Alligator mississippiensis: one gene and its partners. The protein of the gene in region 1 purifies or fractionates together with the protein of each later gene. This does not show direct contact. Links are inferred from orthologs where the notes say so. Each region holds a gene or a part of one and is shown in the gene's direction. Other genes may lie near its edges.

Region 1 (7,638 bases):
GGCCTTTTTAAGCCTCTCTCCTGGTCTGGCAGCTGTTCCATGCCCCTGATCATTTTGGTTGCCCTTCTCCGGACCTTTTCTAGTTCAACCATATCCGTTTTGAGGCGTGGGGGACCAGAACTGCATGCAGATGATTTAACATGGTTATTCACGCCCGGAAGGAAACGCAACCATGATCTGAAATGCGAAATAAAATGTTGCGGGCAAAATAAAAACCGAGATAAGCGACAAAGGGGGAGCTGTTGGGGATGGAGTGCTGATATCAAGGGGGGCTCCATCGCAAGGGCAGCAGCTGGACCGTGGTGGGCTGTGGCTAACAGCAAGGAACAAATACAGGCTGTACTGACAGGATGAGCTCTCTCCTGGCAGCAGTGACTTGGGGCATCGAGGATAATCATTGAAAGCAAGTGCCTCCAATATAACCCTGTGGCAGACAGGGCAGAGGAACCGCAAGTTGTTTCTACAAGATCCTTACCTGGTGCTGGAGTGACTGGTGCTGGAACACCGCGTGCAGGCTGGGGACCACCGGTCAAGGGCGCTGAGCTAGAGATGGCTCAGAGAAGAGCCATAAGAACGACTGAAGGATGGGAACCCTCGCCTTGCCATGAGAGCAAAGAGCCCAAAAGAAGATTGAGACCACCCCAGATACCCACCCAGGTACTGGAAACGCTAAGATCAAGGACTCCTCAACCAAGCAGACAAGGGGACAGCGAGCCAGAAGCTGAAGCTAAGGAAATACAGGCCAGAACTAAGACACCTTTTTACAAGCAGAGAATTTAGCTAAGTCCTGGAGCCACCACAGGCACCAGACATTTTAATCCAAGGCGTTTCCCTTCTTAAAGAGCTTGGGATTCCCCACAGCTTCTGTGCAAGGATCAATCCAGGGAAGCCTGAGGGCCAGCAAGACAGACTGGGTTTAGACTCTGTTGCACAAAGTCTATACAAAAAGGAGGGTGCCTAGGCTGTCAGGGAGCACGCTAAAACCACAGCTCCCTTGTCTGCTATAGGGTAGTGACACTGGTTAACAGGATCACTAACACCCGCCCACCCCTTTTCTTCTACCTAGGGACAAAAGTATCCAAGTAAATCCCCCATTCCCTGCTTGGACCACAGAGCCACTGCATATTAGATAGTTTTATGGGGAGCCTAATTTAACCAATCCAGCACATGCTGCTTAACAGGCACCAACATTCCTCCTGGTCTAGGCATGGATGAAGGAGGTGTCTAGCACGATATATGGCAAGCAACTCCTTTCCCCATCTGGCCAGCTTCCTGTGGAAGAAGGTCCCTCGCACATCTTGTTACAGGCTCAGAAAAGCCATCAGGCTCTCAAACAGGGGCTGGCAGTGTGGCTGGACAAGGTGCTCGCTACCTGGGTTCACAGGACAACCCTTTCTCCCACAAGGAAGAAAGGAAGAGCTCTTCAATAAACGGAGGTGCTTGAAGTGGAGGGAAATGGCCCGTGTGCCCTTGGATCATGCTAATGCCTCTGAGATGGATGAACTTGGCCCTGCTGGAAAGCTCCTTCTTGCCTGGTCTAGGGATAGCTCCTACCGGCTCTCCAGTTCCAAGGCACTTCCCGGCCTCCTTTGTTCCTCTCACACCCTCCCCTTTCTGTTAAAAAGAAAAAGAGCATTGGAAATTCAATGTACAGCTACAACGCGGAGGAGGGAAGGGCAGGACGCTCAGGCGAGGAACGCGGGAGCGAAGGCTCCAACAGCAATATTAGCCGGATTCCTCATCGCATCCATCTTCCACGCTCCCAGCTCAGGTTTAGCGCGGAGGTCACTATTTTACTCGCCCGTGCTCCCTGAAAGCGTCGCGAAAGCGCAATGCAGCAGAGTTAATGTTCCCAGCGGAAACTCCACGGCTGAAATTTCCTGCCCTTTTAATTGTGTAACCAACCTTAAATGTCTCATTAGCGCCAGGGGCTTGCATTCAACATGAGGGCGTATTTATTGCTGGAGGCAAGATTCCAGCACGGTCTGGTGACGGGCAGTTAATTCACCTGGAGAGGTGGTGGCTTGGAGAGGCCACCAAAACGTGGGGGTCAATCCTGCTCCGTGGCAGCAGACATGGCTGAAGCCCAGAGCGCTGGGTCTTCTGCACAGGGCAGGATTTAGCCTCTGGCATCTTTCCCAAGACTCATCTGTTTTGTCCCATGTGTTCTCCGATGGCATGGAAAACCCCAGCCACGGCTCGAAACCCCTCTGGGCCAGGCCACAGACCAACGCACAGGCAGGACAGTGCAGGGAGCCTCCCAGGAATGCAAGAGTTCACCTAGCTGAGGCCCTTTGGTTTCGCCTCAACTGATCCATCACCTCCCATTGATGCCACCCCAACTACCCAGGACCACAGCAGATGCACGCACACACCAGCCCTGGTTAATTTGGGAGAAAGAGGCAGCAGGAGCCTGCCGGGGTCTCCACGCAGCACCAGCCCCTCCCAGTCTGACACAGCTGCAGTTGCCAGCCCGTCTGGTTACTAAGATACTGCAAGGCTAGCCGAGCCCTGCTGCAGCAGTCTAGCCAGGCAGACAATGGCTCAGCAGCAGGAGCTCCCCGTTCATCCCAGCGGAGCCTAAAGGCAAACCCCGCTGCCGGTCGGGCTGAAGTTACCGCCGCCCATTGTTAAAGCTCAGGCCGGGGCTTGCTAGAGAAGCACGAGGCTGAGGCGCAGGCAGGGGGACTCCGCTGCTATGGCCTCCGGGGGGCAGAAACCCAGTCTGCTCCTGCACGGAGCCCGTTCCCCTTCTCGGCTCTCCAAGTCGCTCTGTTTAAACACAAGGCTCCCCTTGTTAGCCACTGCAACGCATCTGGGACCCAAGTGCTTCTTTCCACTGGAACCATTACAAAGAGAAGTCACATACACAGGAGCGTTGTAGGGGGCAGCTGGGTAAGAGGCCGCAGCCACAGCCACATTTGCAGACTAGACATCCCCTGGGGGTGGGAAGCGTTAAAAAAACGCAGCAATCTCGCCTCGCCGTGCTCTGGGACCAGAGGAGGCCTCCAAGGCTAAGCCCAGGCCCCTCGTCAGTACCTGGCCGTCTGGTCCAGCTGGAAGGAAAGCTCATGGCTCGTTGTTGGCCGAGGAGCTGTGGTCTCACCTCCCTGGCTCCATTTGCAAAGCGCACTGATCTGCTGCAAGGGGCCGCGCGCTGCAGCCAGGGTACGAGATGGCCGCAGCTTCCACCAGCAGCGCCCATGCTCCGAGGCCTCGTGTGAGGGAGGCGGGGAAGCAACTGGTGTTCGCTCTGGCTTGAAGGCCAGAAAAGCTTCCACCGTGGACGGCCCCCATGCTATTGTGCAAGCCAAGCAGGACCTCCCTTCCTCCCCAGCGCCGCCCCCCCCGCTGCCTCAATACAAGGAAAAGGTCTCCCAATCGGAGCCTTTCCCATCCGTGCTACAGCCGTGGTGCCAAGGACCCCCAAAGCCGCCCAAAGCCTTCGCGCACATGATTTCCAGCTGCGACACGCGGCGGGGTTCCCACCCGCTGCCCTCGTGAGGCATCGCCCCACGTGCCCAACCCTTACTCCCCACTGCAAAACCGGCTGGGGAGGGGGGGGAGGGAGGTGGGCCAAAGTTCCCCCTGGCCTACGAAGAGCAGCCCCCACCCCCGTTAGCGGCATACAAGCGAGGTGTTTGCTCCGCTCTCCCGAAAGGGGTGGGGATCCAGCCGCGAGGACCAGCCCTGGAGATTGGCACGAGAACGACACTCAGCCCCAGCCCCAAACCGGAAGCCAACCCCCGCTCCTCGGACGCATTAAAGCGGGGACCTAGGGCCATGGTGGGGGGGGGGGGGTCCCTCGTGGGTATGCGGGTCCAAACAGGGTCCCAGCCCCCCCTCCCCCGCACCCACGTGGTCGGTGCGGTAACCCCCACCCCCCCGACGTCACAATGAGGATCGAACGCCTGGATCCATTCTAAGGTGGGGGGGGTAACTCGGTAACGGGCAGCGGGGCGGGCGCTTAGCCCCCCCCACCTCGGCCGCCGATTGGCCGGCGCCGCTGGCGCTCCCGCCAATCCGGCCGCGTTCCAGGCGCGCGCGGAGAAAAGCGGCACGGCCATTGGGCGCCGCCGTCGCCCGTCCGCCGGCGGGGCCCCGCCCCTCCCCGGTGCCGAAGCCGCCGCCCCATTGGCGGAGCTGCCCGTCCCTCACGGCCCCGCGCCTTGCTCTCGCTCTCCTCAGGCAACGGCGCCTCCGCCCCGCCCCCCCGGAGCCAACGCGCCGCGCCATTGGCCCACGCGCGTGTCTGTCAAGCCCGCCCGCACTCCCCCGTTCACTGCATACAACGAGCCCCCGGACCGCGCCGCCGCCCGGGTACCTCGGGATGCAGCGGATCCGGCACCCCTGCCTCTCCACTCCGCTCCTGCGCAACGCCCGCCGCCCGCCAAAACAGCCCGCGAGCGCGCATGCGCCGGCGAGCCTCGCACCGCGCATGAGCGCCCAGACCCCTCCCTCCTAGGTGCCGCCCCCCCCACCGCTACGCCTGCGCAGTAGGGCGAGCCCCGCGCGCTGCTGCGCGTGCGCGAGCCCGCCCCCGGCCTCTTCTTAGAGCGCGTCTGAACCGCGGCGCGGCTTCTCGCCCTGGTGGAGTCCGCGCGGCCTCGCCTCCCCGCTCCCACCTGTGCCCGGACCCCGGCGTGAGGTAGTAGCGGCGGCGGCGCGGAGCAGGGCGACCCGCGATGGAGCGGATGGAGCCGCGAGCGGGAAAGAAGGTGAGCGCGGGGGGTGGGGGAAGGGGCGGGGCTCTGCGCATGGTCGCCATGATCGGGGGCGGGATCGTTTCTGTCCTGGCCAATGGGGGAGGGCGCGGGTGCTCTTCCACCAATGAGAGCCTGCAGCCTCTGGGATTCCGCCAATAGGAGGCGGTGAGGGGGGCGGGGCGCAGCGGCTGCCGCCCAATGGGAACTCGCCGGCGGGGTGAGGCGGTGGCGCCGGCGTTGCTCGGCCCCTTTCGGAGCCGGCACCTCAAGGAGCCCGCATCGCCGCTGCTGCCGCCGCCATGTCCAGGGCCGAGGTGCGTCGGGGCCTCCTCGTCCGCCGGGGTCCTCCCGCCCGTTGGGGTTTGCGCCTGCGTGGCGGAGGGCGCCGAGCGGTTTTTGCGCTTGCGCAAGTGGGGGTGGGCTTGCGTGGCCGGCGGGGCGGACGACGCATGCGCGGCGCGCGGGGCCATGCGGGCGGGCGCCTTTGTGCTCGGCGCGCCGTGGCGACTGCGCATGCGCCGGAGCTTCCTTTCTCCCGGGGCTCCCGCGTGGCTCGGCAGGGGCGGGGGGGCGGGTTTGGGGTACCTGCGGGCGGGAGCTTAGCCCCCAGTCCTGCGAGGTCTCGTTTCCCGCTCACTCCCTGCTATTCCTCTCTAGTCTCCCAAGGAGCCCGAGCAGCTGCGCAAGCTCTTCATCGGCGGTCTGAGCTTTGAGACGACAGACGAGAGCCTTCGCAGCCACTTTGAGCAATGGGGCACGCTCACCGACTGCGTGGTGGGTGTCCCGGGCTGGCCCCTCAGCTGAGTTAAACCCATTTAATGAGCTGCTATATATTCTTCCTGCGTGGGAGAAAGGTGGGGGGTAGATAAGCTCGTGTGGCACTTGTACTCGAGGAGACTGAAAATTGGTCGGGGTCTTCTTGTCCTAGCCTTGGTCCGATGGAGTATTGAAAGCCTTGGTGCTTTGGGGTTGTTGGATGGGTTTCCTTAAGCTGCCTTTGTGGTGTTAAAGATGCACTGCCGTTGATGTGATTAAACAAGCGCAAACAGCATCCTGTCTGAGTAAAAGCCAACAGCGCATATGGGATAAATGGGGAGAAAAGTTCCCAGGGGTAGCAGGCAAATGGCAGAAGAAAAGAAACTGATTACAGAGAGATTAGCACCTATTAAAATAGAGTGGGTGTTTTTATCACCTTTATTTGTGCAAATAATTACTTTTAAGTATATATAATGTGCTATAAGGGTGCGGACAAGTGACACCTTTCTCCTCTGGCCACAAAAAGCAGTTTATTGCATGAGGAATCGGATAAAGACGTTACAAAATGTAGCACCTTGTGTAACTTGTGTCTGCAGAGCTCCCAGCCCCTCCTTTTCAGATTGGGAGGGGGGAAGGGAACAGGGAGTTCAGTCTGGGGGGTTTTCCATCCCCCTGGAGTATGGGGTGGATGTATTAGGAAACACCCCCCCTCCCCCCCCCCCCTGGGTGGGGGCACACCAATTAGTCCACCAACCCTTCAGTACCAGCTTGGGTGCCCCCAGAAGAGCTCTCTCTGCTGCCTTTTTCCCCCTCCCATCATGCAAACAGCAATGGCAGAGTTCTGGCTGTTGGTGTTGGAAAGCACCTCCATTCCCCTCGCCCTGGAACTAACAGTGAACTTCTGTTTGGTTTGGGGTAATGTAGAAGATTCTTGCTAAGCAGCAAGTTGAGTTTACAGCTAGGAGCTGCACTTCTGTCTGCAGCTTAAAACGAATCGGGTTGGCTTAGTCATGCATTTATATGTATTTTTGTTCTGAAATGCCAGTTAATGTTCTCTCTAGGTTTCCCTCTGTGCACTTGTGTCGTCTTTGCTGGGTTGCTCATGGAGACTTGTGTTTTCTAGGTGATGAGGGACCCAAACACCAAGCGTTCCAGGGGCTTTGGATTTGTCACGTACTCCTCCGTTGAAGAAGTCGATGCCGCCATGAACGCCAGACCGCACAAAGTCGATGGCAGAGTTGTTGAACCAAAGAGGGCTGTGTCCAGAGAGGTAGGAACAACAAGACTAGTCCAGTGAGTCGGTGATAAGCGTGCTCCTCCATCTTGTACCAAGGCTGAGTTAACAGTGGAGCCCTTCATTTGCGTGGCTGCTCTGGTCATTTGAGACTTGGTTGGGCATGCTCCAATTTATGGGAGTTGCTCTAGCTCCTTACGTTCTGTGCTGTGAACGATTCCTCCCGAGGTAGCTTCTGCAGCCTGTTGTTTCATTGGCTGTGTTTGGGGGGGGTGGGAAGGTGGTCTCTGCTATTTCTCACGGAAAGACTGGGTTACAAAGTTCCCCCATCTTGCTTGTGGTTTTGGGGTGGGCTGCAGTTTCCATCTCAATTTCAATCCCCAGTTGTGCCTTTATGGGCACCTTTGCACTGGAACATGGCTGAGAATTAGCCCTTTCCCCTTACTGTGGGGTCTGGTGTAGGTGGGGATTTGTTAACCACCCACCAGGTGCTCCTTCAGGCAACAGGAGAGCAGCCAGTTTCAATGCACTGGTTTGTGACTTATGTGCTTCTGGTCCATGTGATGCCACCTTTATTGCATAGAGAATGGGTGCTTGTGTCATGCTTCTTTCCCTCATGCATTTCCTCTCTGTCCTGTGCAGGACTCTCAAAGGCCTGGTGCTCACCTAACAGTAAAGAAAATCTTTGTCGGGGGCATCAAGGAAGACACAGAGGAGCACCATTTGCGGGACTACTTTGGGCAATACGGCAAGATCGAGGTGATTGAGATCATGACAGACCGCGGCAGTGGCAAAAAGCGAGGTTTTGCCTTTGTCACCTTCGATGACCACGACTCTGTGGACAAAATTGTCAGTAAGTACCTGGCTGGCTCTTACAGTCCCACCCAGCTTTTCTGCCTGGATACTCAAGGGCGGGTCAGACTTGTCAGTCACATGGAGGTA
Region 2 (7,904 bases), on another chromosome or scaffold:
TTCTCTGAAAGTTCAGTTATCCATAGCACTACCACTAAGAGAGACGGGCAAAATGTAGAAGTACCTAAGATCAACTTATGTTACCTTCTAATGTAGTCATTGTGACTGACTGTGCAGAAAGACTACCGAACTGCAAATCCCCATCCTAAAGAACTCTCCCCCTGCACCATAAGACATTCTTGCGATGCAAATCATAATAAAATATAAAAAACACAGCCAATAAGACTTGAAAAAAATCCATTCATTCTTGGTGAGTAGGAAGCTTCTATGGAAGATTTGGTCTTTACAAGCTTTCATTAAAAGGGTTCCTTGCATGAGTGCAAGACATTGTTATGCTGTTGCTTTAAACCTGCCTATAGACAGCTCCAACAATGCCAATGCAATAGCATCGGCATCATTTTGCTCAGTCTTGTTTCCGTTTCGCTGTTTTCTCCCCAGGGCAGTGAAAAATAACATTTCAACATCACTGATGCACCTTGGCCAAGCAGCAACTAACAGCAACAAGCCAGTGGCATTTAATGAAAGCCTGCTCTACAAACTTCTGCATTAACTGAGGAAGTCAGGTCAGCCAGCAGGAATTTTTCTTCCATCAGAACTAAACTAGGTCCCCCACAAAGTGGGGAACTAAGCTAACAAAAGCTGCCTTCTGCTGGCAGAGCTGCATCTGCTTGGGAGTTTTGTCAGCAGAGACACGTCAGCCATGTCCATCAATCTTTTCCCACCCCTAACAGACATAACTGTGCTGACAGAATTTTGTAATGTAGGGTCACTGCCCCATCAGCAGGTAAGAGAATAACACAGCTAAAACCCCACCTTGCAGAGAGGCAGGTAAGAGAGTAGCATAGTTGAGAGCCCACCTTGGAAAGTGCCAGGTTAGAAGATGCAGCCATCATGTAGCAGGTTACAGTAGCGAAGTACACTCAAAACAACTGAGTGTCATGGCTGGAAAAAAGTGTTTCGGGGTACAGGTTGTAGCCATGTTGGTCTAAGGACATAGTCAGACAAGGTTCTTTGGGTAAATCCAATATCTTTTATTAGAACCACTAAAATAGTTGGGAAAATTCTTTTTTCCAAGCTTTTGGGTACAAACACCCTTCTTCAGGCTGAACCCAAACAATGTTGTCTGCCTATGTCCTTAGACCAACATGGCTACAATCTAGACCTATGAAACAAATAAGATATGAAATTTTGCTGGAGAAAATTGTGGTATTTTTACTTCACACCAGTGAGGAAAGAGCAATCTTAAAATTAACCACTGGTTAAACTAAGCCCACCAGGGGATGGGGGGGACTATTGCCACTGCTGGCCCGTTGAGCAACCCTTGCAAAGGCAGCAGGTCAAGGCACTTAAAGGAGCCCAGCCCTGACTAAGCCCTGGAACGAGCTGTGGGCAAGGCAAGGGCCCCTAAAGAGACACTTGTCTGCCTGTACACAAATGCCAGGAGATTGGGGAATAAACAGAAGGAACTTGTCTGCCTGCTTAACACAAATAATTATGACGTCATAGGGATAACGGAGACCTGGTGGGCATCCACCCATGACTGGACTGTACAGGTATAGATGGCTATACCCTGTACAGGAGAGATCAAGTGGACAAAAGGGGCCGGGGTGTAGCTCTTTATGTCAAGGAAAGCTACGCATCCCTGCAAGCCGGTAAGGGGGCAACCAGGGTGGATGACTGGAGACCCTCTGGGTTAAAATCTGTGGGGGAACACAGAACAGGGGACACAATGGTGGGAGTCTATTACAGACCTCCTACCCAAGATCAATAGCTTGACCAGGAGTTCGCCAGGGAATTGACTGAAGATGCATGCTCCCAATGCATAGTTATCATGAGAGACTTCAACTACCCAGACATCTCGTGGGAAGAGCGCTCAGCCAAATCAGAGCGGTTGCAAAGCTCTCTCGTGTGTGGATGAGCTCTACCTGACGCAAGAAATCAACGGGCCGACGAGAGGTAAAGCGCTGCTTCACCTGGTACTGGCTACAGGGGATGACCTAATCAGCGACCTAACAATCAAAGGGAAGCTGGGTGGCAGTGATCATGAGCTGATCACCTTCACCATCTGCCAGAAAGCTGGCAAGTCAGTCAGCAATACAGAAGTCCTCGACTTCAGGAAAGCTGACTTTGACAAGCTCAGGAGGCTTGTCAGTGAGACCCTAAGGAATCATGACCCAAAGGGGAGGGGAGTTCAGGATGAGTGGTTGTTCCTCAAGGGAGCACAAGCTAAATCTATTCCGTCTCAGAGGAAAGGCAGCAAAAGAGCACAGCAGCCCCCTTGGCTCTGGAGGGAACTAGCAGACCTCCTGCATCTAAAAAGTAAGACCTACAAAAGATGGAGGACTGGTTCCACCTCCAAGGAGGAATATTCTGCACAGGTCCAGACCTGCAGAATACAAGCAAACCAAGAAAGCCAAGGCTGCAACTGAACTCCAACTAGCTACAAGTACCAAGTACAATAAAAAGTCCTTTTTAGATATGTGGGCAGCCTGAGGAAAAGCAAGAGCAACATTGGACCCCTGCTAAACCATGGGACAACTGACAACCGACACACAGGAAAAAGCCAACTTGCTAAATGGGTACTTTGCATCAGTTTTTCACCAGTTCCAAGGGGCACCCCTGCCCATTACAGGACAGGAACCCCTGGGTGAGGATGATTCCTTACCCTCCATCAATGCTGACCTTGTGAAGGAACACCTTGAGAGGCTGGACACCTTCAAGTCAGCCGGCCCCGACAGCTTACACCCCAGAGTACTCAAGGAGCTGGCAAGCATCATAGCCCAGCCCCTGGCACGAATCTTCGAGAACTCCTGCTGCTCTGGTGAAGTGCCTGAAGATTAGAAGAAGGCCAGTGCGGTGCCTATCTTCAAGAAGGGTAGGAAAGTGGATCTGGCAAACTACAGGTCCATCAGCCTGACCTCTATTCTGGGGAAGATCTTAGAAAAGATTATCAAAGAAAGAGGCCATTCTTAACAGACTGGCTGATGGCAACATCCTGAGGTATAGCCAGCACAGGTCTGTCACAGGTAGGTCTTGCTTGACCAATCTTATTTCCTTTTACAACCAAGTGACCTATCACCTGGACAATGAAGAAGAGATTGATGTCATATATCTTAACTTTAAAAAAGCCTTCGATCTGGTATCCCATTATCACCTCTTGGCAAAACTGGCCAACTGTGGCCTCAGCTTCACCACAATCTGCTAGCTGGGGAACTGGCTTTGTGGTTGGACCCAGAGGGTGGTGGTTGATGTAAGTCAATTGTCGTGGTGCACAGTGACCAGTGGGGTCCCTTAAGGCTCTGTCCTTGGGCCTATACTATTTAACGTCTTCATTAATGATGTGGACATTGGTATCAGAAGCAGACTGGCCAAGTTTGCTGATGACACCAAACTCTGGGGTAAAGCGTCCACACCTGAGGATAGGAGGGCCATCCAGGCTGACCTTGACAGGCTCAGGAAATGCGCAGATGAGAACCTGATGATGTTTAACACCGAAAAATGCAAGGTTTTTCACCTTGGGAAGAAAAACCCACAGCATCCTTATAGGCTCGGCAGTGCTATGCTGGCTAGTACTAGACGAAAAGGTCACGATTGACCACAAGACGAACACGAACCTTCCACGTGATGCTACGGCTAGTAAAGTGAGCAAAACACTGGCTTGCATCCATAGATGCTTCTCAAGCAAAGCCCAGGACGTTATTCTCCCACTGTACTTGGCCTTGGGAGGCCACAGCTAGAGTACTGCGCCCAGTTTTGGGCTCCATAATTCAAAAACGATGAGGAAAAGCTTGAGCGAGTGCAGAGGAGATCCACATGCATGATCAGAGGTCAGGAACACAGACCTTATGATAAGAGGCTGAGAGCTATGGGACTCTTCAGCCTTGATCAGGGGTGATCTGGTGGCCGCCTATAAGTTTGTTCACCAGGATCTGGGGGAACATCTGTTCACCAGTGCCCCATTGGATGACAAGGTCAAATGGTCACAAACTCCTTCAGGACTGCTTCAGGATGGACGTAAGGAAGAACTTCTTTACTGTCCAAGCCCCCAAGGTCTGGAATAGCCTGCCACTGGAGGTGGTTCAAGCGCCTACTTTGAACACCTTCAAGAGACATTCAGATGTCTATCTTGCTGGGATCCTATGGCCCCTGCTGACTTCCTGCCCCTGGGGCAGGGGGCTGGACTCGATGATCTTCGGAGGTCCCTTCCAACCCTAATGTCTATGAAATCTACTTACTAGCTAGATACCAGCAGGAACGGCAGGACCACCTGTAAAGAGAATGGAAAGACGAGCTGGGCATCAACCTTTCCTTTTTCCAGAGCGCAGCAAATCTCATCAGCAAGTGACCCGCCACCCTCATCTTTCCTCCTGGCTTCAGGCTTTGGAGGGTATCAGCCTTGGGGCTCTGAGATGCAGTGCAAGAGTCTCACACAAGCAACAAGGTTAATTAGGGGGCTCTTTTGTCAGTGGGGGCCGCGTGCGACTGAGGCACCGGCTCTTTAAGGTAGGCAATAGCTGAAGAAAATAAGGGTCGGAGAGCCGGCGGGGGCCGCGTTTTGGTTTTACTGAATTTACCCAAGTGGGGGGAGTCGGCTTTTCAAGCAAACGAAGCCGGAGCTGGGACTAAAACGGAAGAGGGGGACGCGACTCTCTGCTCTCGCACCCTTTGGAGCAGGGGCGTTCAACCTCCGGCCCGCGGCACCGTCTCCCGACGGGGGAGCCCCAGGCCCGCGCTGCCTTTAGCACCGCATCCCAGGGCCCGACCCCGGGGCAGGGGGGAGGGGACTTGGCGCGCGCTCACCTGCCCGAACCCGGCCCTAGCTCTCACGCCGCAGCACCCGGTCACCGCCGCACACTGCGCATGCGCGCCCGCTGAGTGCGACAGCGACGTCATCACGCGGCGCCCGCCACCCCCACATGAGCGCGGCCATGGCGTTGAGCGCGGTGCGAGCGGCGGTCCCCCGGGGGCTCGTGCAGCTCGTGCTACTGCGTTGGGCTCGGAGCTGGGCCGGGGTCCCGGCCCCGGAGCACGTGGTGCGGGTGCCCTGGGCTGCGCGGCGGCAGCAGCAGCAGCAGCAGCGGCGGCGGCGGCGGCGGGTGGCGGCGGCGGAGCTGGCGGTCCCGACGCGGGCGGGGAAGCTGCTGCTGCGGAGCCGGCGGCGGGAGCTGAGCCAGCCGAGCCGCCTGACTCTGGGCCGCTGGGAGGCGCCGCGCCTGGTGTCGGCGGGCTGGAAGCACCGGCTGTCCTGCGGCGACTACTTCCAGCTGGAGCGCGCCCAGGACTTGGCGCCGGCGCTCGCGCCGCCGCAGGCCGAGGGGGGCGACTCGTCCTTCGGGGCACTGGGGCTGGAGCCGGCGCTGGTGTCCGCCCTGGACGCACTGTCCCTCAGGCGGCCCACGGCCGTGCAGCGCCACACCATCCCCGTCCTGCTGCGTGGCCGCCACGCGATCTGTGCCGCTGAGACGGGCAGCGGCAAGACCTTGGCCTACCTGCTGCCGCTGCTGCAGCGGCTCTTCGTGGGGCCCCGGCCCCAGCTGCACTCGGGCCCGGCGCCCAGCCCCCTCAGCCTGGTGCTGCTGCCATCACGGGAGCTGGCGGAGCAGGTGCGCTCCGTGGCCACCTCCCTATGCCGGCCGCTGGGACTGCGGGTGCGGGAGATCGGCGGCGGCCGGGGCATGGGCAGCGTGAAGAGGCAGCTGTGCGCGGAGCCCTCCCTGGATGTGCTGCTGGCCACGCCGGGGGCCCTGTGCAAGGCGCTGCGGAAGCGGATGGTGACCCTGGAGCAGCTCAGCTGCCTGGTGCTGGATGAGGCCGACACCCTGCTGGACCCCACGTTTTTGGAGCTGGTGGAGGAGGTGCTGGCGCATGCTCCCCTGACCTGCAGCCCCCAGGATTTGGCTGATCCGTGGGATGTCAAAACCCAGCTGGTGGTTGTCGGAGCCACCTTCCCTGGAGGCCTGAGCCGGCTGCTGAGCAAGTTTAGTGACATTGGCCACTTTGTCAGGCTCGTCAGTCAGAGCCTGCATTGCCTCCTACCCCACATCCAGCAGAAATTTGTCCGGATCAAAGGTAGAGACAAAGTGTCTGAGCTGTTGCAGCTCATCAAAGTCCGGAGCCCTTCCAGTGGAGCCCTTCTGGTCTTCTGTAACAAGGCCCCCACGGTCAACTGGCTCAGCTACATCCTTGATAATCACAAAGTCAAGCACCTGAGACTGCAGGGCCAGATGCCTGCAGCCATGAGAGCAGGTATCTTCTCTGCCTTCCAGAAGGGAGAGAAGGACATCCTTGTCTGCACTGATTTAGCCTCCCGAGGACTGGATACTAGCCGCGTGGAGCTGATAGTTAACTATGACTTCCCAGACACCCTGCAGGACTATCTCCATCGGGTAGGGCGTGTTGGGCGTGTGGGTAGCCAGAAGTCTGGATCTGCAATTAGTTATGTGACCCATCCATGGGATGTTGACCTGGTGAGGAAGATAGAGACTGCAGCCCGGAGAAGGACTAGTCTCCCGGGTATGAAGACCTCCATTGATGAGCCTTTACCTGAAACAGACTTGACTCAGACTGCCAAATAGCAATGAATTTTGTGTTTGAATTAGACTTAGGCTCCTACTAAAGGCTTACTGTTATATTTAATACTGGCAATCTTATGTTTGTGACCCAGAATGTAAATGTTATAGCCAAAGAATTTAAGCTTTTAGTTGCGTCATGACCCTAAGGTGTATTGATTCATTTCAGTTGTAGCAATTACTTTGCACTTTTGCAAAATCAAATTGTAGTAACATGCAACAGGTAGTTAAAATGCTTTTAGGGAAGGCTTGAAATAGATCAAAAGCAATGAAATTGAGAGAGTCAGTTTGTTCAAAGCTCATTAATATTCAATTTGATGTAAATCAGATGTATCTGGATAAAAAATAGGTTAGGATTATGTAGTCACTATAATCCTGAAAATTATATTTCATTAATGTTCTAGTATAGGTGGCTAGCTATGTTAGCCTGATGTCAGGCAGAAGGTAGGGCGGGGCAGCACCCTTGGAACTGGTTCAGAGAGGCATGAATTTTCACAGTGATCTGCTGTGTCAGATGCTAGGAAAGGACTCCCATTTCTAGCTCACTGTTTCTACCTTGCTAATATTGTATCGGAACAGCCAGAAGGTAAGCAACAGCCAGGAACTGAATATTAGGTGAAGGTTAAAATAACAATTATTGTGGAAATATGTTGCCTCTTCCCTCAAGTGTATTAAAGGTTATATATATCTGTTAAAGTTTATATAACTATTGTAAATTAAGGCTTGTTTATCTCCAGCACAGGTAGGTGTAGTGGAAGTTTCTGGACCATAATCTAACCTTCTATCTGAACTCTGACGTTGCAGAAAAAAACATCTTCCTTAGTCTTACAATGTCTGTACAATACAGATTGAGAAATTTTTTCCTGGAAATACACACCAGGTATTTCAAAAGTGGAGCTAGGACACAATGGAAAGAAAATAGAAGGGAAGTGCTGGTTAAGCAGTTTGTACTCCAAGGTTACCTCCCAGTAGTACATTTGTAGTATTTTATAGGTTGAAGAGAGAGGCCTTTCACGCTTTTTTATTAAAGTTCTTTTGCTTGTTTTTTATTATATATTCAGGCTCTTTAATTGTTGAAATGTTAGGGTAAGTAGAATCTCCGTGGCGAGAAGAATGTACCTCTCAGAGTGCCATTCACAAGTAGATCAAAGCACTGTATAAAGGGGGGGTCATAGATAGTGCATTAGGCACCCAGAGATGAAATAACTTGGCCACAGTCACCAAGTAGGCCATTGATGGTTGGAAATAAGATGTAAGTTCCATGAATCCAGCTGTGGCACGCTGATACTTAACACCTAAATAAAACTCCTCCTTTGTCAAAAGGGTTGGAGTCAA
Region 3 (7,229 bases), about 5.2 Mb from region 1:
CTTACATGTGCCAGGAACCGCTGTGGGCATCTCAGGGTCATGCCAGCGTGGGCGGCTGAGGGCCGTGTCCGGACAGAGGGGAGCAGAGCCGTCCCTGCCCCCCTGGCCCAGCCCAGCACGCAGGGAACATCCTGTTATTGTCCTGCCGCGCGGACGCCGTGTTCCTGCCCAGCTGGGTGAGGGGCCACGTGCCCCCCGGGGCTGCAGCAGGGCCGGTCCGTGCGGCGTGGCCTGCCCTGCCCTGCCTGCCCGCCCTGTGGCTGCCACGTCCTGTTTTGAGGACTCTGTTTCCTTCTCCCACTGCCAAGATCCTGCCGTGATTTATGGGCTGGGCGGGCGCTCGCCCTTCCCTCCACCATGGCTTCCACAGGGCCCAGTGGAAACCCAGGGGCGCGAGGCTCCGTGGCCATGGAGCTGCCCCAGCTTTGCAGCTGTTTATGGGGCTCTCAGCTGTGGGGGGTGGACAGGGAGGGGGTGCCCAGGGTGGGGCAATGGAGGGTCCCAGTGACAGCAGCTAGTGAGAGGACCCTGGGGGGTCAACCCCGAGAAGACCCCGGGGACCCATCATGGCTCTGTGCTTCCCCCCAGGGCTCCGGGTGGCTCCATCATGCTTCCCACTTCATGTCAGGGCTGGGACCCTCTGCCAGGACACCCGAGACATGCCAGGGGTAATGGAGACTGGAGGGGACTTGGCACCAATTTTGCTTGTGCAACAGGGCTCTGCCATGGCATGTCTGTTTGTGTGCACTGTTGTGCGTGCATGCACACACGTGCGTGCGCACGCATGCACGCACACACACACACACACACACACACTCTTGTACCACATTAGGGCTCGATCCAAAGCCCAGGGACATCGGGGGAAACGTTCCAAGGGCTGGCCAACAACTCAGGATTGGGTCCGGGGGGGAAAGGAGGAGCCATGGGGGTGCCCAGCCCTGGGTGCACCCCCGTCTGGCTGTGCCTGGCCCCCCCACCTCAGCTGGGACTGGGGGGCTGACCCCTTCCCTGAGGATGCCCCCTTCTCCAATCCTCAGGCTGCTCCCTTCCCCGATCCTGGAGGCTGGGGGAGCTGCTGGGAGCTCCCGCCCTGGAGGGATGGGAACGGGGAAGGGGGATGCACTTGCCCCCTGACCCATGTGGGGCTTTGCTTCTTCCCGAGCCCCCCAGGAGCAAGGCAGAAGTACGGTCTCCCCAACCCTGGTCACGGCAGATGTGTCCCCTTCTCACCTGTACCCTGACCCCTACTGCCAGCCTGGCCTGGGGCGCTGGGGCAAACCTTCACTGCGCAGAGTGGGCCTGGGGCCTGTGGGGCACATGGGGCAGGGGTTGGGGGCACTCACTCCGTGTCTTGCTCTTGATCTCCTGCACAAGGAAGGTGTAGTTGGCCTTGTCCTGGTCCTTGAAGGGGATGTCGAGCACGGTGAGGTTGTGGAAGCTGGGCAGCTGCACGTAGATGCCCTCGATGGCAAAGTAGCAGGGCCGGTCATCCAGCTTGTCGTCCCAGTACACCAGCATGGCGTGGCGTGTCCAGTTGAAGTGGCGCTGCAGGGCCACAGCGAAGGCGCCCAGCTTGCGGTGGCTGGGGCCAGCCCGTGTGGTCAGTGCATAGACGTCTGCCTTGTCGTCGAAGCCGTGCGCCTCGGCGCCCGCCGTCACCAGGGGCAGGCGCCAGTGCCGTGTGAAGCGGGCCACAGGCGCTGAGGCGTAGATGCAGCCGGGCCCCAGGAAGGCGCTGGGATTTGTGGCCCACTTGAGGTCCACGGCGGCCAGTGGTGCGGCCGAGTCGGAGCACACGCCGTGCTCGTCCTCGCTGCTGCCGAACACCCATTGCAGCCGGTGCCGCGGCAGCAGGTCGGGGCGCTGGTTCACCCGCTCCATGGCCAGCTGAATGGCCGGGCCGACCCGGGGCCAGGCCCACGGGTAGCTCAGGTTGCGGTGTGGCAGCACCACGGCCATGGTCAGGTTGGCGTCGTGGCCTCGCGCCCCACCCACTGCGCTCAGCAGCGCGCCCAGCAGTGCCACGAGTGCCCGCCGCATGGCGTCGCTGCCGTCCCCACGCCTGCCCTAGGCCTGTGGCATCGCGCCCCCGCGCCCTGCCACGGCCCCGCCACCCGGCGCTGCTTCTCGGTGCCGCGCCAGCGAGCGACTGATTATCTCCCGGGCAGGCAGTGCTTTTCCTTCCCCTCATTCAACGACAAAAGGGCTGTTATCATCGCACGGCTCCTTAACCCCTTGCTGCCTGCAGCTGCCGGCCTGCCCCGCCCCCGTGCCCGCAGGGGGAGGCAGGAAGAGATGCCCCCCGAGGGGCAAATCTATCATCTTAATGGGGTGGGGGGGGGTACAAAGGGGGGCGATGCAGGCTGTATGCATTACCCCCCCAGGGCATTCTGCCATAATTAGAGGAGAGGAGGGTGGGGGGTAGTGGGGGCTATGGGACAGTGGGTGCCTTTGGCCCCCCAGGCTGGGGGAGGGGATGGGGCAGGCTGGGGGAGCCCTGGGGTTGCATGGGAGGGAATCTGTTCCCCCCTTTCATCCTGGCAGCTAGGAGGCAGCTGGGGGGCCGGGGTGGAGCGGGAGCAGTGGGCTCATTCTGCACATGGTTGGGGGTTCCCAGGTGTATCCCACTTGACCCCCCCTGAGCCCCTTGGGACCTCGGTACCCACCATGGCCCACACTGGCAGTGCCTGCCCCAGCCGGGGCGGGGGGGGGACGAGGGGAGGGGAAAGGGTTTGATCCAGCTGGAAAAACACCGATGGGTGAAAAACACCAAGCATGCAGCACCCGCCCCCGCAACCACACTGGACCTGATCCCAGCAGCTGGGGGCCTGATCCTGCCCTATCCTGGAACAGCCCCCGGGCCCCAAGATGTTCCCCCGTCCAGTGTTGCCAGGCTCTATGCCACTCCACCAAGTGCCAGCTGCCTGAGTCAGGGGATGACAGGTGGCCCCCAGCCCTCTCCCTTGCTCTGCTCAGGGTGGACCCCAGCGGCCTGGGCCAAGGATCGGGCCCCACTGGGGGGGTGCCATGAGCAGCCGGTCATGCACTCACCCCTGACAGCCCAGATCCTGCCCTGCCGGCTGACCCCAGGCAAGCTTCTTGGGGGACATGTTTGCACCCTTGACCTGGGCACATCCTGCCAGCCCGCTTTCCCGCAGGGGAGCTGCTGGGTCACGCCCCCTGGCAGCTGGGATAAGTGGAGGTGCTTTTGCAGCTTCATTAGTGCAGGACATGGGATTGCCACAATCGGGCATTCCCGTGACCGGGGCACTAATGGGGCCCATTACCCAGGTAAAGAGCAGGGCAGGTAGGTGGGGGCCCTGACACATGGGGAGGGGGTCCCTGCCACCCGCTGCCTCTTTGGGGCAGGGTCCTGAGACCCCTGCCCACCCTTTCTCTGGGCAGACAGGGCAGTCATGAGAAACAAGTCAGGGAGGGCATTGCCCCCAGGAGAGCAGGGGCCTGGGCACCATGACCTGGGGGGCAGAGCTGGGGGGCTACAAGGGTGGCAAGGCCCAGGCAGGGCCTCCCGGAGCCCAGGGGCATGGAGCAGGCCTAGCCCTGGGGCAGCAGCACCCCCAGGAATGGGGGTACCAGGGATGGCAGGGCAGGCCCTGGGACAGTGGGTTGTTTCTGCCCCCTCCCTGGTATGGGAGAGCACGTGCTCCCTGGATGTGCCCCCCCCAGGTGTGGGGAGGCCCCTCAGGCTGCATAGGACAGCAGGAAAAAGCAGGCAGGCGGTACTAATGAAAAGCAGCTAATTAATTAATTACCCAGCTTTTTAATTAACCCAAAAGGAGCAAAAAAGAAACAACTAGCAGAGGATGGTTTCGATCCATCGACCTCTGGGTTATGGGCCCAGCACGCTTCCGCTGCGCCACTCTGCTGCTTGAATTCAGAGCTCTGATGACTCCATATAAGGCTACCTCCAGCCACTCACGCATGCGCAGCGAAGACGCCCATGAGCTGCCACCCAGCACCCATTCTACGCACGTCCCGCGCCACCTTGCGGCCCCGCTCGCGCCCTGCAAGACGCATGCGCAGTAGCACGGGCCCGCTCGCCAACGGCCGCCTTCTTGTTCCCGCCCCCCGGGCCTGTAACTGGCCCAGCGCTCCCTCTCCGATTGGCTCGTTTGAGATAGATGGGGAAGCAACCCAGTAGCCAAACAGCGAGCGAAAATACCAGCCCGCGGTTGGCTGTGCGAGAACCAATCGCCGGGCCGCTTGTTGCGGAGTGGACAGCGCTGGCCGGCGGCTTCTTCTCGGCGGCGGCGGCGGCGGGTTCCATTGTTCGGGGGTAGCGGGCGCCATGAGGTGAGCGGCGGCTAGGGAGGCCCGGGGGGGTCGGGATGTGGGGAGGGGCTGAGGACCCCGCAGGCGGGGCGGGGAAGGAGGACGGGGTGCCCTACAGGGGTTGCAGTCGAGGGGGTGAGTGCGGGGGATGCAAGGGAGGGCTGAAGGGGGGTGGGGGCGCCTCGCGGGGAGGATGAAGGGGGTAGAGGGCTTGGCCGTAGGGGCAGGGGCTCGGGGCCTTGCTCAGCTGTGACTCACTGCCTCTTCTCTCTCCCAGGGGTGATCGAGGTCGCGGCCGTGGCGGGCGCTTCGGGTCCAGGGGCCCTGGCAGCGGGTGAGCGCCGTCTCTGTTAGAGGGTGCTGGTGGGAGCGCTGCCTCCCTAGCCTGGGACCCCACTTTGAGGGGCTGCCAAGGGGGCCCTGCAGGGCCAACAGCCTCTAGCTTGTTCCTGCCCTAAACCTCTGTGAGAAGCGAAGCTTCCTAGACCTTCAGTGCTGGAGGCTGCATGCGAGAGAGCAGCGGTAAAAACGCTGGTCAGATGCAGCTCGCTCTCCCTTCCAGCTCCGCTCTCTGCCCCTCTGACGGGAGGCTGCGCAGCTTGGACCTGGCCTGTGGTCTGACCCAGTCAAAGGCAGTTCTGATTTTTCTCCAGCCTAGGTTCCTAGGGAGAGGGATGCGTCTAGTCACCCATTTTAAAGCTTCTCAAAAGTTTGTCCAGGCAGGGGGGGGGGGAATATTCTTGTCCTTTGCATATAATGAGAACTCACCTCCATTTTCTCCCACTTTTTCCTTTTAGATTCAGGCCCTTCGTGCCACACATTCCCTTTGACTTCTATGTGGTAAGTAACCTCTCGCAGTGCTTGGTGCCGGCTGTATAAAACAGCAGCAGGGTTGTAGTGGAAATAACACTTTGTTGAAGTAAAAAAAGTTGCTTGTTTCTTTTAAGAAAGGGAATGTAATAGCAGAACATCCTGTGGGGCCATAGGAAATAGTGAGTTTCAAAACCAAAAATGTACGTCTGATTCTTGGCCTGCTCAAGTGAGCGGGAGGCAAGTAGGTCTTTGAGGCAGTGTCCATGCAGCGTTTGACAGAGGGTTGAAGACGTGTAGTATGGAAAGCCTTGGTGTTTATCACTAACATGCATCACAACCTATCCCACTGTTAAAGAGTGGAACAGGAAATGAAAATCCTCTCCCAGATCTGCAGCTAGTAGCCCAAAGTGTGCATTACCTTAGCCAGGTTCCCAGAGCAGTAGAGTCTGGCCTTCCTCCAGGTCTTGGTTTCTGTGTGGCCTAAACAGGAATGACTTTCTTCTCTGTCTTCTTATAGAGGAGGAAGAGGAGGAGCTCATTTCCTTCCTTCATTGAGCCTGTCTGGTGTAGGGACACACAGGTGTGGCTTTCTCAGGGAAAATGGGTTAACCATTTCCTTGCCTTACAAGGCCAGGATCTTTGTTCCCATTGCAACAATTCAAGCGGTTTGAGTAACTACAGGGTCTCATTAGGAAATTCGGTATGTCATCTAATAGGTCTCAGATGCTTTACTGCCTTTTAGTACTCAGCTGGATCCATCATTAGAGATATACCTTTTAAGTCCTACCTCTCTATGTCATTTTGTTGCTTGTAAACTAAAAAAGCTTCTGTGCAGAGCATGCATAAATGCCTTGCTGCAGGTTCTGGTAACTAAGGTGCAGTTTTCAGAGACCTGCTCCTGATGCTGGAGCCTCGGTAAAGATGTGGGTAGGAAGGGAAGTTCTTTTTACTCCACTGAACCTAGTAGAAATAGAATGTGCAGCCTGGTTGCCGTGTCCAAAAGGCTGTAAGCAAGAAAATGTATTTGGAAGCTACTAGGGAAAGTGGAGAGGAAAACTAGGATAAGCTTGTTTTCTTCTTAAGTGCTGCACCAAAGATCTTGTATCACTGTGGAGCTGCTGCTTTAACGTTTGCTCCTGTTGCAGTGTGAGATGGCCTTCCCTCGCGTGAAGCCTGCAGCTGATGAGACGGCATTCAGTGAAGCCTTGCTGAAGAGAAACCAGGATCTGGCTCCAACTGCAGCCGAGCAGGTTAATAAAGCTTGCTTCCCATGTGCTTCCTATGGAAAACTTTCCTGAACTCAGACTGGTGCTAGGTTACTCTTAATTCAGTGTAGACTCTTTTGTAACAAACACCAGAAATGATCTTCCTGCAAAGGGAGACCTAGCTTTGCATGTCTCTCGACTTGACCAAGGGACAGAACCATGGCTGGGTGCTAATTCCAGCCTGCTGTAGGATGGAAAAGGGCTATGTTGCTTGGAAAGTGGTTTTAAATCTGTTTTTCCTGACTTGTCTGTTCCTCTGCATGTCTCAGGATTATCCAAATCCCATAATTTCCCAGCCTTTGAGACAAAGGCATGCATTTGTATCTCAGCTTTAGTTGAAACGGTCACTTGCTGCTGCCATCACCGCGTGCTCTCTTATTTTTCAGGCATCCATCCTGTCTCTGGTGACTAAAATAAACAACGTGATTGACAACTTGATAGTGGCGCCAGGAACTTTTGAAGTGGTGAGTCAGTCTTGTCTGCCGAGATGTGCCAGGTCTGCAGGGTTGGTGCAGCTCTTCGGAGGCTGCCTTAGTCTGGTTGGGTGTCTCCTTGTCCTGATGAGGCAGATCAGTTTTACAGCGTTGGTTTCTTTGCTCCTGCCCTTAGAGGCTCCCTCTCGAGGGAGGCTGTGAAGTTGAGTTGTGTGCTCTTGGCTTGTATTAACTTTTTTGGCTTGTTCTCTTGAAATAGCAAATTGAAGAAGTCCGCCAGGTGGGATCCTACAAGAAGGGCACCATGACGACAGGGCACAATGTAGCTGATTTGGTGGTGATCCTGAAAATCCTGCCTACCTGTAAGTGTCCTCTGCTCCTGATCGGGTGCGGCAGTCAGAACCACTCCAATGTCTCACTTCAT
Region 4 (7,727 bases), on another chromosome or scaffold:
GGCCGCGCTAACCTTGGCGGCACCGCAATTGTCTGCAGCCCATGGAAGTGCAGGGGGTGGACCAGGCTGTGATAGCGCTCTGCAGCAATGAGGCACAGGAAGCCATTCTTGGCATAGAAGTTTGTGATAGCGGGGGTCGGACCCGATGATCTGTTTAAGTCCCTTCCGACCCTAAATACTATGCTTCCTTTCCCCTCTCTTCCCCTGAGCTCCCAGGGAAGCCAGCAGGACCCTGCTTGATTTCCCCAGCACAGCTCAGAAACACGCTGCCTTAAGTATCTGCGTTTTGCTTGGTTTTGAGAAGGTTTTTGGCATGATCCAGTCTGACAAATTCTGGCCAAACTCTATGATGCTGACTCCTGGGGCCTCCAGCTGATGGGGAAATAAGCAAAAGGGGAATAAACCATGCAACAGATAGGCATGGCAACATGGAGAAAGGGGTGAGCGAGGTCTGCATCCTTATGCTTTCATAACTCAATGCAGACACGGAAAGCGTAATAGAACCGTGCTCCAAAAATTCCAGCGCAGGACCCAGGCATTAATGGGATTTATATAAATGTACCTAATATATGCAGATAACCTTGTTTTAATAGCTTCAGCTAGAGCAGACCTCTAGAATATGCCTAGTGCTTGTACTATCAGGACAAGGCAGAAAGAAAATCAGACAGAAGGAGGCGGAGAGCCAGCTATGTTGGCAGCGCTGCAAGACAGCGTCGGGTCCAAAAGAAGGCAGGTACGTTACAGCTCTGCCATGGCAGCAAATGATGGGAAGTGGTGATCTGTGACTTGGGACTGGGAGACAGATGGAACCGCAGTTTCCCAGGAACGTGAATGCAACAGCTGCATTTCCGCCAAAGTTCCTGAGGGAAGATGCGAGCAAAGCCCAGGGGTTCAAGCTGTTGAAGACTAGCCTTGACAGCTGCTCTCCCTGCATTGCCCCTAAAACACCTCAAGATGATTGCTCATGCTGTTGTGCAGGGGGCTGTCTAGAAATCTCGCTTCCGCTGCTGCGAGTGACTTGCTTTGCTCTGCCTCAGCTGAAGCCACCTTTACTTAGTGTTCAGCAGAGATGCAGACAAAGCAAGGGCTCTTCTTCCTTCCCCAGCTGTGAGATGCTCTAGGGAGGTCACTCGGCCAGAGCGAGAAAGCCCTCCGCCAGTCCCGACCTTTGTGCCTTTAATTTCTGCTTGGTTTGCTGAGGTTTGCAGGGATTTCCTTGCTTTTTAGAGTGAAAAATAAAAGGAAAGAAAAAAAATAGCAAGTCATTGCAGATCTGATCAGGCAGCCCAGCTTGGCTACAGCATTTGTTGCAGAGGACCAGATCCCAGTGTGCAGGCTATGAAATCCTGACCACTCAGCCTGATAAAGAGTGGGTGAGTGGGGGGAGTTGTGTGGTCTGCATGTGCCCCCAACCCTACCGTATCCAGATTTTTTGTGTCTTTTGTAGATCCCTTGAGGAACGGGGTTTGGGAGTCCATAAAGTGACTGTGCTCCCTCGGCGAGGCAGCTCCCTTGGAGAAGCAGGTGAGGCGATCTTCAGGAGCAGAGCTCGAGGCCCTCCTTCCTGTGGGACAGGGACTAAGGCTCTTGGCAGACACCCCGTCCTCTGCTAGGGCAGAGAGTACATCATGAACGACAACAACAGCTGTTATTGCCCCATGGCTTTTAACACCACCAAGTACTTCCTCGTTCCCATCTACTCCGTGGTAATAGGGACTGGCTTGCCTCTGAACTTCTTGGCACTCTGGGTCCTGGTGTCCCAGATCAAAAAGGCTGTGGTCCTTTCGGTCTTTGTGATGAACCTGGTGGTGGCTGACCTACTGCAGACCTTGACACTGCCCTTCTGGATCTACTACAGCTACCAGGATCACCGCTGGGACCTGGGGGAGATCACTTGCATGGTGGTCCACCTGATCTTCCTCACAAACTTCTACGCCAAGAACAGTTTCCTGTGCCTCATTGCTGCAGAGCGCTATCTCGGCCTGGTCTACCCCCTGCGCTTCCACGGGCTACAGACAATGCGCAGTGCTGCCACGATCAGCGCAGCCATGTGGATGATGGTCATTGGCTTCTGCTCCTTGGGCAACTGGCTGCAGAACCTGGGGCCAGACCGCTGCTATGACTGCTACCCACAAGTCATAAAGTACGTCCGTTTCCGATGGGCCGTCTTGAGCATCTCCTTCCTCCTACCCTGCTTCTTCATGGGTTTCTGCAACATCCAGGTCCTGTGCAAGATTAGACAGGTGTCATCCCTGGAGCAGGAGAAGAAGCAGCACATGTGCTGGTTTATGTCCTTCATCATCATCTCCTTCTTCCTGCTCTTCCTCCCTTATCAGGTGAATTTCTTGTTGAAGCGCCAGATGACGTCACCAGACTCTGACACGTGTCATCTGGAGAAGAATTTTTTCACTTACAGCCAGGTGGCAAAGAGCATCCCCACATTGGGCAACATCACAGATCCCCTTCTCTACATCCTGCTCCTCAAAGAGGGGAGGGCAGAGCTCAGGAACTGCTTCAGAAACATGGTCTTGAGATCAGCGTCGTAACAAGGTCAGACCCAATGCCACCATCCTCCTTGGCAGGGGCAGAGGTGCGTGTAGGGACTGCCCTGGGTAGGATTTTTCAGGACAGTCCTGAGTGGCAGGGCTGCATCTGGGCATACGTGATGACTACCTGATCCACCCCAACTTGGGAATGCTGGCCCTGGAGTGGCCCCAGGCAGCGTCCCCTTGCATCTGCTGAGGGGGAAAGCCCAGTGCTGCCTGCAGCTTGACTGCCCCAGGGGAGAGGGGGCCATGGCTTTGCTCCAGCTAGTCCACTTGTCCCCCTGGTGACACCCGGACATGGCTATACTAATTAGTTCTGCTGCAGTGGCATATGCATGTAGCCATGCTACTTCCAGCAGCTGCCTCCTGAGCGAAGAGCAGCTCTGTGCCTCTCAGCAGAGCCAGGCAGCCTGGCCACAGCATCGCTGTTATAAAAACCGGAACTAGAAGCGGTGTGAACAGCTTCTGCTTCTGAAAGACTTGGGGGCGGGGCGTGGGATAGCGGTCTGAATTTCGACCACATTGGAGTAGGGTTGGATGGATGCCAGCTCAGACCTGCGTCTAGACTACTGGCTATGGGGGCACGAGCCTATCTGTTTTTTGAGGGTTCATCTGTCCAATCCTGGTAAGGCAGCAAGTGCCAACCAGCAGTCGGCGACCACCCACAGACACTGCTGTAATGGCAGGCAGCGGCGTCCGCGGGCTGCCCACAGACGCTGCCGGCAGTGTCGGCAGCAAGCAGTGACTGCCAGCAGTTTTGGTGTCGCCTTTGGGTGCACCGCTACACTCAGGGGGTGTATGCATCGCCAGTGATTGTGCATCGCCAAATTAAAGTAAAAATGCTTGGATCTTTCTGCCTACTGGCCTTGCACCTTCACAGGGCACGATTTTCAGCCGTTCTCTGCCCCGGGAGGGCTTAAAATTGAGAGTTTAGTGTCATCACCCGATTCCAGAGTCAATAGCTGTGCGGGAAGGACTGGTCTCTTGAGAGCTGGCAACACTGGACAGGCGCTGTGTGAAAACCAGTGATGGACTGGGATCTAGGGGAGATGGTTGAGAGGCGATAGAGAGCAGCTGGTCCCTGCAGTGCCAGGCATTGCCTGTTTAGAAAGGGACCAGGGAAGTTCTTGGAGGAAAGCGGCGGCAGCAGCTATTGAGCAGGGGTGCAGGGCATGTGTACACATTTGCTTTCATGTGCATTCGCCTGCTTTATTGCACATTAAAGCATCACAAAAAAGCTGTGCACTTTTGCTAATGTGCATTAAACGAATGTGCCTGTTCCAGTAGCTCTCAGTGGAGGTACTAGATTTAATGAACATTAGCAAAAGCGCATTAATGAACGTGGAGAAGCGCCCTAAGCGCCGGACGCTGCAAGAGGGAGGGAAACCCCTGGGCAGACCCAGTTCACTCGCAGCCCCCTCTCTCGCCCCACCCCCTCTGGCAAGGGTATCAATGATTTCAAACTGGCCAATGAGCGTTCGGGAAAGGCAGCGCCCAGCAGCGATTGGCGGAGACGTGACCAATCCGCGCCAGCCCTCTCCCTTCCACCGAACGCGCCTTGCTCGACAGCCGGCGCCGGTCTCTGACAAGGGGAGTGTGGGAGGGGAAGACAGGAGCCGTACGTCATCCCCCACCGGGACCAATAGAAAAGCGCCCATGCCAAGGTCCTGGCTGCCAGTCACAAGCTCCGCCCCGCTCCCTGGGGCTTTTCCCGCGAGTCTTTCCCTGTTCATCCCGCCTCCTCGACTATAGCCTATAAGAGCTAAAATTACCGGGGAGTGACAGAAGTTCCAGCCATTCAGGGTGGATCGATGCAGAGAGGTGGGCCCGTAAAAGGCTTAATGACCAATCACAGAAAGACATGAGGCAGGGGCGGAATCGAATGTGCCGTTCACCCAATGAGAAAAGACTGCGGCGTGGACTGACAGCAAGTTTAACCAAGCAGAGGAGAGTGTTGGGCTGCGGGAGTAGAGCGATGGGAGCAGCAGCCAGTGGTTGCTTACGCCCCCACTCCGCCGAGGCAGGGGGGGTCGAACCCGCCGTTTCCCACCCCTCAGAGTTTCCTCTCTCATTGGCCAGTAGCAGGATTGACTTCTTTGCCAGCCAATGACAGTGAATAAGGCTGTTCCCTCTCTTCCAATGGGGGCGGGGACGGGGTGGACTCGGATTAGTCCGGGCTGAGCGGTGCAGAGGGCGGCGTGGGCGCCATTTTGTGAGCAGCGCGGAGCCAGGAGGCCGCGGCGGGAGCGCGAGCGACTCGAAGTCTGAGCGGGGCCTAGCGGTGAGTCTGTCGTTGCTGCGCCGCTGCACGCAAGGCTGAGCTGGGACAGCGCGGGGCCGCCCCCCCGCGGTGTGCTCCGCCTCCCCGCGCCATTTGGGGGTAGCGGACCCCCCCCGCCCCTCGGCGCGGCTCTGCCCGGCCGGGAGCGCGGGGGAATCCCGCCCCTCCCCCGGCTTACAATGGTGCAGTCCAGGCACCACAGCCTGTTCTCCTGGGCGAGACCATCGCGGGGCCAGGGGGGGAGCCGGGGAGAAGAATGGTACGGCTCAGACGGGAGAGACCACCATGGCGGGGTGGAGGGGATGATATCGCTGAGGGGCGGCCGGGCGCGGGCTGACCAATGGGAAAACGAGGAATCCGCCCCCCCCCGCGGGGGGACAATGGTGCGGCCTGCAGAGCCCGGTTTCCCGCTTCTTTGGGACAGACCAATGGGCGCGCAGGGGGGGGCTGGCGCCTTCACCTCCATCCCCACCTCCCCCGCCACGCGGCAGTGGTCTCGGCCAGGTGGGGGTCTGGCTCCCGGGGCCTGTGCTGCAGGGGCACGCGGCCTGGTGGGCGGCAGCTGGAGCAGAGCCTCGAGTGGGCAGGAAGAAGGGGCTCCTGTCTCGGCCTGCCGCTCTCTGCCTGCGCCTCGGCCCTGCATGCGGATCCCTGCAGCCAGAGGGCACGGTCCGGGTCCGGCCCCCGCGGGCCTCACTTCTCCCCCTCCCCCCCCTTCCACCAGGAATAGGCCCCCTCGCCTTGCCTCGCCCCCTGTTCCCTGCCGTAGGTAACGCCGGTGCCTCCGGGGAGGCGTCAGCGTTGCATCGCGTCCTGGGCTGGAGCAGGACGCGTGCCCCCGCAACCCCCCCGCACCCTCAGGGCAGCTTGAGCTCCAAGGATCCTCCGTCAGGATAGGCTCGCATGACACTTCCCCCCTCCCCGCCTGCACGATGCACCCCCCCCATTCGAATCTCCTCCTGCCGCCGTGCTTGACGTCTGAGCTGCTTCCTTGGAGACGGAGGAGCGGAGCGGAGGGGTTAGCGCAGGATTGGTGGCAGGAGCCCTAGCTTGAGCGCTCGGGGGTCCCTGGAGGCAGGCAGGCCTTTCTCGGGGCGGGGGCGCGGGAGGGGCGCGCAGCGTTTCCGAGGAACCCTGACTCAACCTGTCCCTTCTCCTTCCACAGGGCAGCGAGGCGAAACCCCATCCCTCCTCACTGGAGCTCAGCTTCGTGTTAACCCCCTCCCCCCCCCACACACACACCTCCCCATTTTATAGAGCCCTTTTAACAGTGCCCCCGGGGCTCAGCGCTCCCCGCGCCACGCTGGAGCTGGATTTAAGATGTAATTTTGCAAAGTGTCTATTTTTTTCTGCAGCAGCTGGGTTAGAGAGGAGGAGCCTTTTAGCCCCTCATGAGCTGACCTCTCGGGTATTTTTAGAGTGCAGTGGTGGTGTGCAAAGGGCTTTGATTGTCTCCTACCAAGAGCTCTCCCCACGTGGCTCTGTGGTAACCACAGAGCGCGAGAGAGAGGGAGAGAACAGAAATGATCGTTGCTGACTTGACCTTTCGGCACCTCCCGTTTTTCTAATCTGGGCTATTTTTATTTTTGTTTTTTTACAGCGAGATTTTTTTGATCTTCAGCTACAGTAAGTTATTCCACATTTTTTTCCATTTTTCCTGCCTTTCCACTGATTTCCTTTTTATTGTTGTTGCTAGTTACTATTACTATTATACTACTATAATGCTGATGACTTTACTATGCTGATATATTACTGATGGTGATGATAAATGACACTGCTGATTTTTAACCAGATGAAATCGCGTTTTTCTGAGTGTTCCTGACTGAGCTGGGTTTTTACCCTTTGTGAGAGACAACAAGGTTTTTGCATTTTTAAAGTGGATTGATCACGCTAACTCTTTTTCCCCCCCTTGACTGCTGAGATTGGGACCTGGTTTCTCCTGAACTGTTTTAGAGCGTCTCTGGAAGTCTGTATTTTTATTTTTTCTTTTGTTTTTTTTATTTTTTTATTTTTTAATCTTTCGTTTGTGCCATTTTTAAACTTGCTGCCGTATGATGTCTGTGGTGCTGATCGCCTGTGGTGGCGATGGCCCTTCCCCAACAGCCCCCTCCTCTTGTGCCCCCAAAACCCTCCTCCTGCTCTCTTCCTCTACGCCGTCCTTCCCTCAAAACAACCCACCACCACGCCACGGACACCTGGCCTGGAGCGGCAGCAACAGCCAATGGAACCGCCCGTGGAGCAGATACAAACCCATCCCAGGCGATGGTAAGAGGTGTGAGGCCAGTAGATTTCACTGTGAGCTTTGGCCACCAGAGCCACAGGCCCAGGCATGGAGGAGTCCCCAGCACAAGGATCCTGTGTTATACCGCAGGCCTGGTTTAGGGTTAGAAGCACCATGTCACAACTGTCACCTTGGCTGGCAGAGCTGTGTAGGAGCGTGGTGGGAGCCCTGGCGCTGTGGCCTTAGTGCTGGGAGAATAGACCCCGCAGGGAAGGCCCGGCTATGGGAACCGCAGCGGCTCTGCAGAGCTGGTGCCCCACGTGCCGTGAGCAGTGCTTCAGGAAGACATCTGGGTTTGACCTGGACAAAGGAGGAAAAAAAGCCATGGGAGTCTTGTTCCCCTGCCTTTGGGCAGGCTGGTCCCCTGCTAAAGGGGAACCTTCCACCTCCTGTGAATGTCCTTCTGCCTGCTTCCCCCTCCCTTTCCCCAGTGAGGAAACCATCTCTGAGCACAGGACACCACATGAGACCTAGAACAGTGCATAGAAGCATGCTGTCCCTTGTAGTGGGATGGCAGGTCAGGCCTGGAGCCGTGTGCAGGAACAGCGTATGTCTAGAAGGCTTTCTGTGTTTCCGTGCTGTGTCTGCAAAAGCAGCAGGAGCTTGAGCCACCAGTGAG

The links. The genes of interacting proteins can lie anywhere in the genome.
Region 2: the proteins of HNRNPA1 (region 1) and DDX28 purify together in Homo sapiens (affinity purification with mass spectrometry; 3 studies listed by BioGRID and IntAct, with this or other methods). This does not show direct contact. The link is inferred for Alligator mississippiensis from reciprocal best matches to the Homo sapiens genes HNRNPA1 and DDX28.
Region 3: the proteins of HNRNPA1 (region 1) and ILF2 purify together in Homo sapiens (affinity purification with mass spectrometry; 4 studies listed by BioGRID and IntAct, with this or other methods). This does not show direct contact. The link is inferred for Alligator mississippiensis from reciprocal best matches to the Homo sapiens genes HNRNPA1 and ILF2.
Region 4: the proteins of HNRNPA1 (region 1) and HNRNPC purify together in Homo sapiens (affinity purification with mass spectrometry; 8 studies listed by BioGRID and IntAct, with this or other methods). This does not show direct contact. The link is inferred for Alligator mississippiensis from reciprocal best matches to the Homo sapiens genes HNRNPA1 and HNRNPC.

What each region holds. Positions count from the first base shown.
Region 1 is NC_081838.1:7,977,960-7,985,597, reverse strand, and holds the start of HNRNPA1 (heterogeneous nuclear ribonucleoprotein A1), read left to right. Parts: upstream 1-4,627; 5' UTR 4,628-4,685; coding exon 4,686-4,718; intron 4,719-4,912; exon of another isoform or gene 4,913-5,005; coding exon of another isoform or gene 5,006-5,020; intron 5,021-5,363; coding exon 5,364-5,480; intron 5,481-6,585; coding exon 6,586-6,732; intron 6,733-7,338; coding exon 7,339-7,549; intron 7,550-7,638. Other genes in the region: CBX5 (chromobox protein homolog 5), read right to left, coding at 4,325-4,414. UniProt on the Homo sapiens protein: Involved in the packaging of pre-mRNA into hnRNP particles, transport of poly(A) mRNA from the nucleus to the cytoplasm and modulation of splice site selection.
Region 2 is NC_081833.1:45,274,312-45,282,215, forward strand, and holds the start of DDX28 (probable ATP-dependent RNA helicase DDX28), read left to right. Parts: upstream 1-4,896; 5' UTR 4,897-4,916; coding exon 4,917-6,575; 3' UTR 6,576-7,904. Other genes in the region: DUS2 (tRNA-dihydrouridine(20) synthase [NAD(P)+]-like), read right to left, coding at 2,666-2,777. UniProt on the Homo sapiens protein: Plays an essential role in facilitating the proper assembly of the mitochondrial large ribosomal subunit and its helicase activity is essential for this function. May be involved in RNA processing or transport. Has RNA and Mg(2+)-dependent ATPase activity.
Region 3 is NC_081838.1:13,197,778-13,205,006, forward strand, and holds the start of ILF2 (interleukin enhancer-binding factor 2), read left to right. Parts: upstream 1-4,221; 5' UTR 4,222-4,309; coding exon 4,310-4,314; intron 4,315-4,570; coding exon 4,571-4,627; intron 4,628-5,090; coding exon 5,091-5,133; intron 5,134-6,251; coding exon 6,252-6,356; intron 6,357-6,757; coding exon 6,758-6,835; intron 6,836-7,064; coding exon 7,065-7,167; intron 7,168-7,229. Other genes in the region: NPR1 (atrial natriuretic peptide receptor 1), read right to left, coding at 1,344-2,040. UniProt on the Homo sapiens protein: Chromatin-interacting protein that forms a stable heterodimer with interleukin enhancer-binding factor 3/ILF3 and plays a role in several biological processes including transcription, innate immunity or cell growth.
Region 4 is NC_081830.1:3,830,607-3,838,333, reverse strand, and holds the start of HNRNPC (heterogeneous nuclear ribonucleoproteins C1/C2), read left to right. Parts: upstream 1-4,719; 5' UTR 4,720-4,827; intron 4,828-5,992; 5' UTR 5,993-6,149; intron 6,150-6,427; 5' UTR 6,428-6,453; intron 6,454-6,459; exon of another isoform or gene 6,460-6,878; coding exon of another isoform or gene 6,879-7,092; intron 7,093-7,727. Other genes in the region: probable G-protein coupled receptor 132, read left to right, coding at 1,659-2,546. UniProt on the Homo sapiens protein: Binds pre-mRNA and nucleates the assembly of 40S hnRNP particles. Interacts with poly-U tracts in the 3'-UTR or 5'-UTR of mRNA and modulates the stability and the level of translation of bound mRNA molecules. Single HNRNPC tetramers bind 230-240 nucleotides.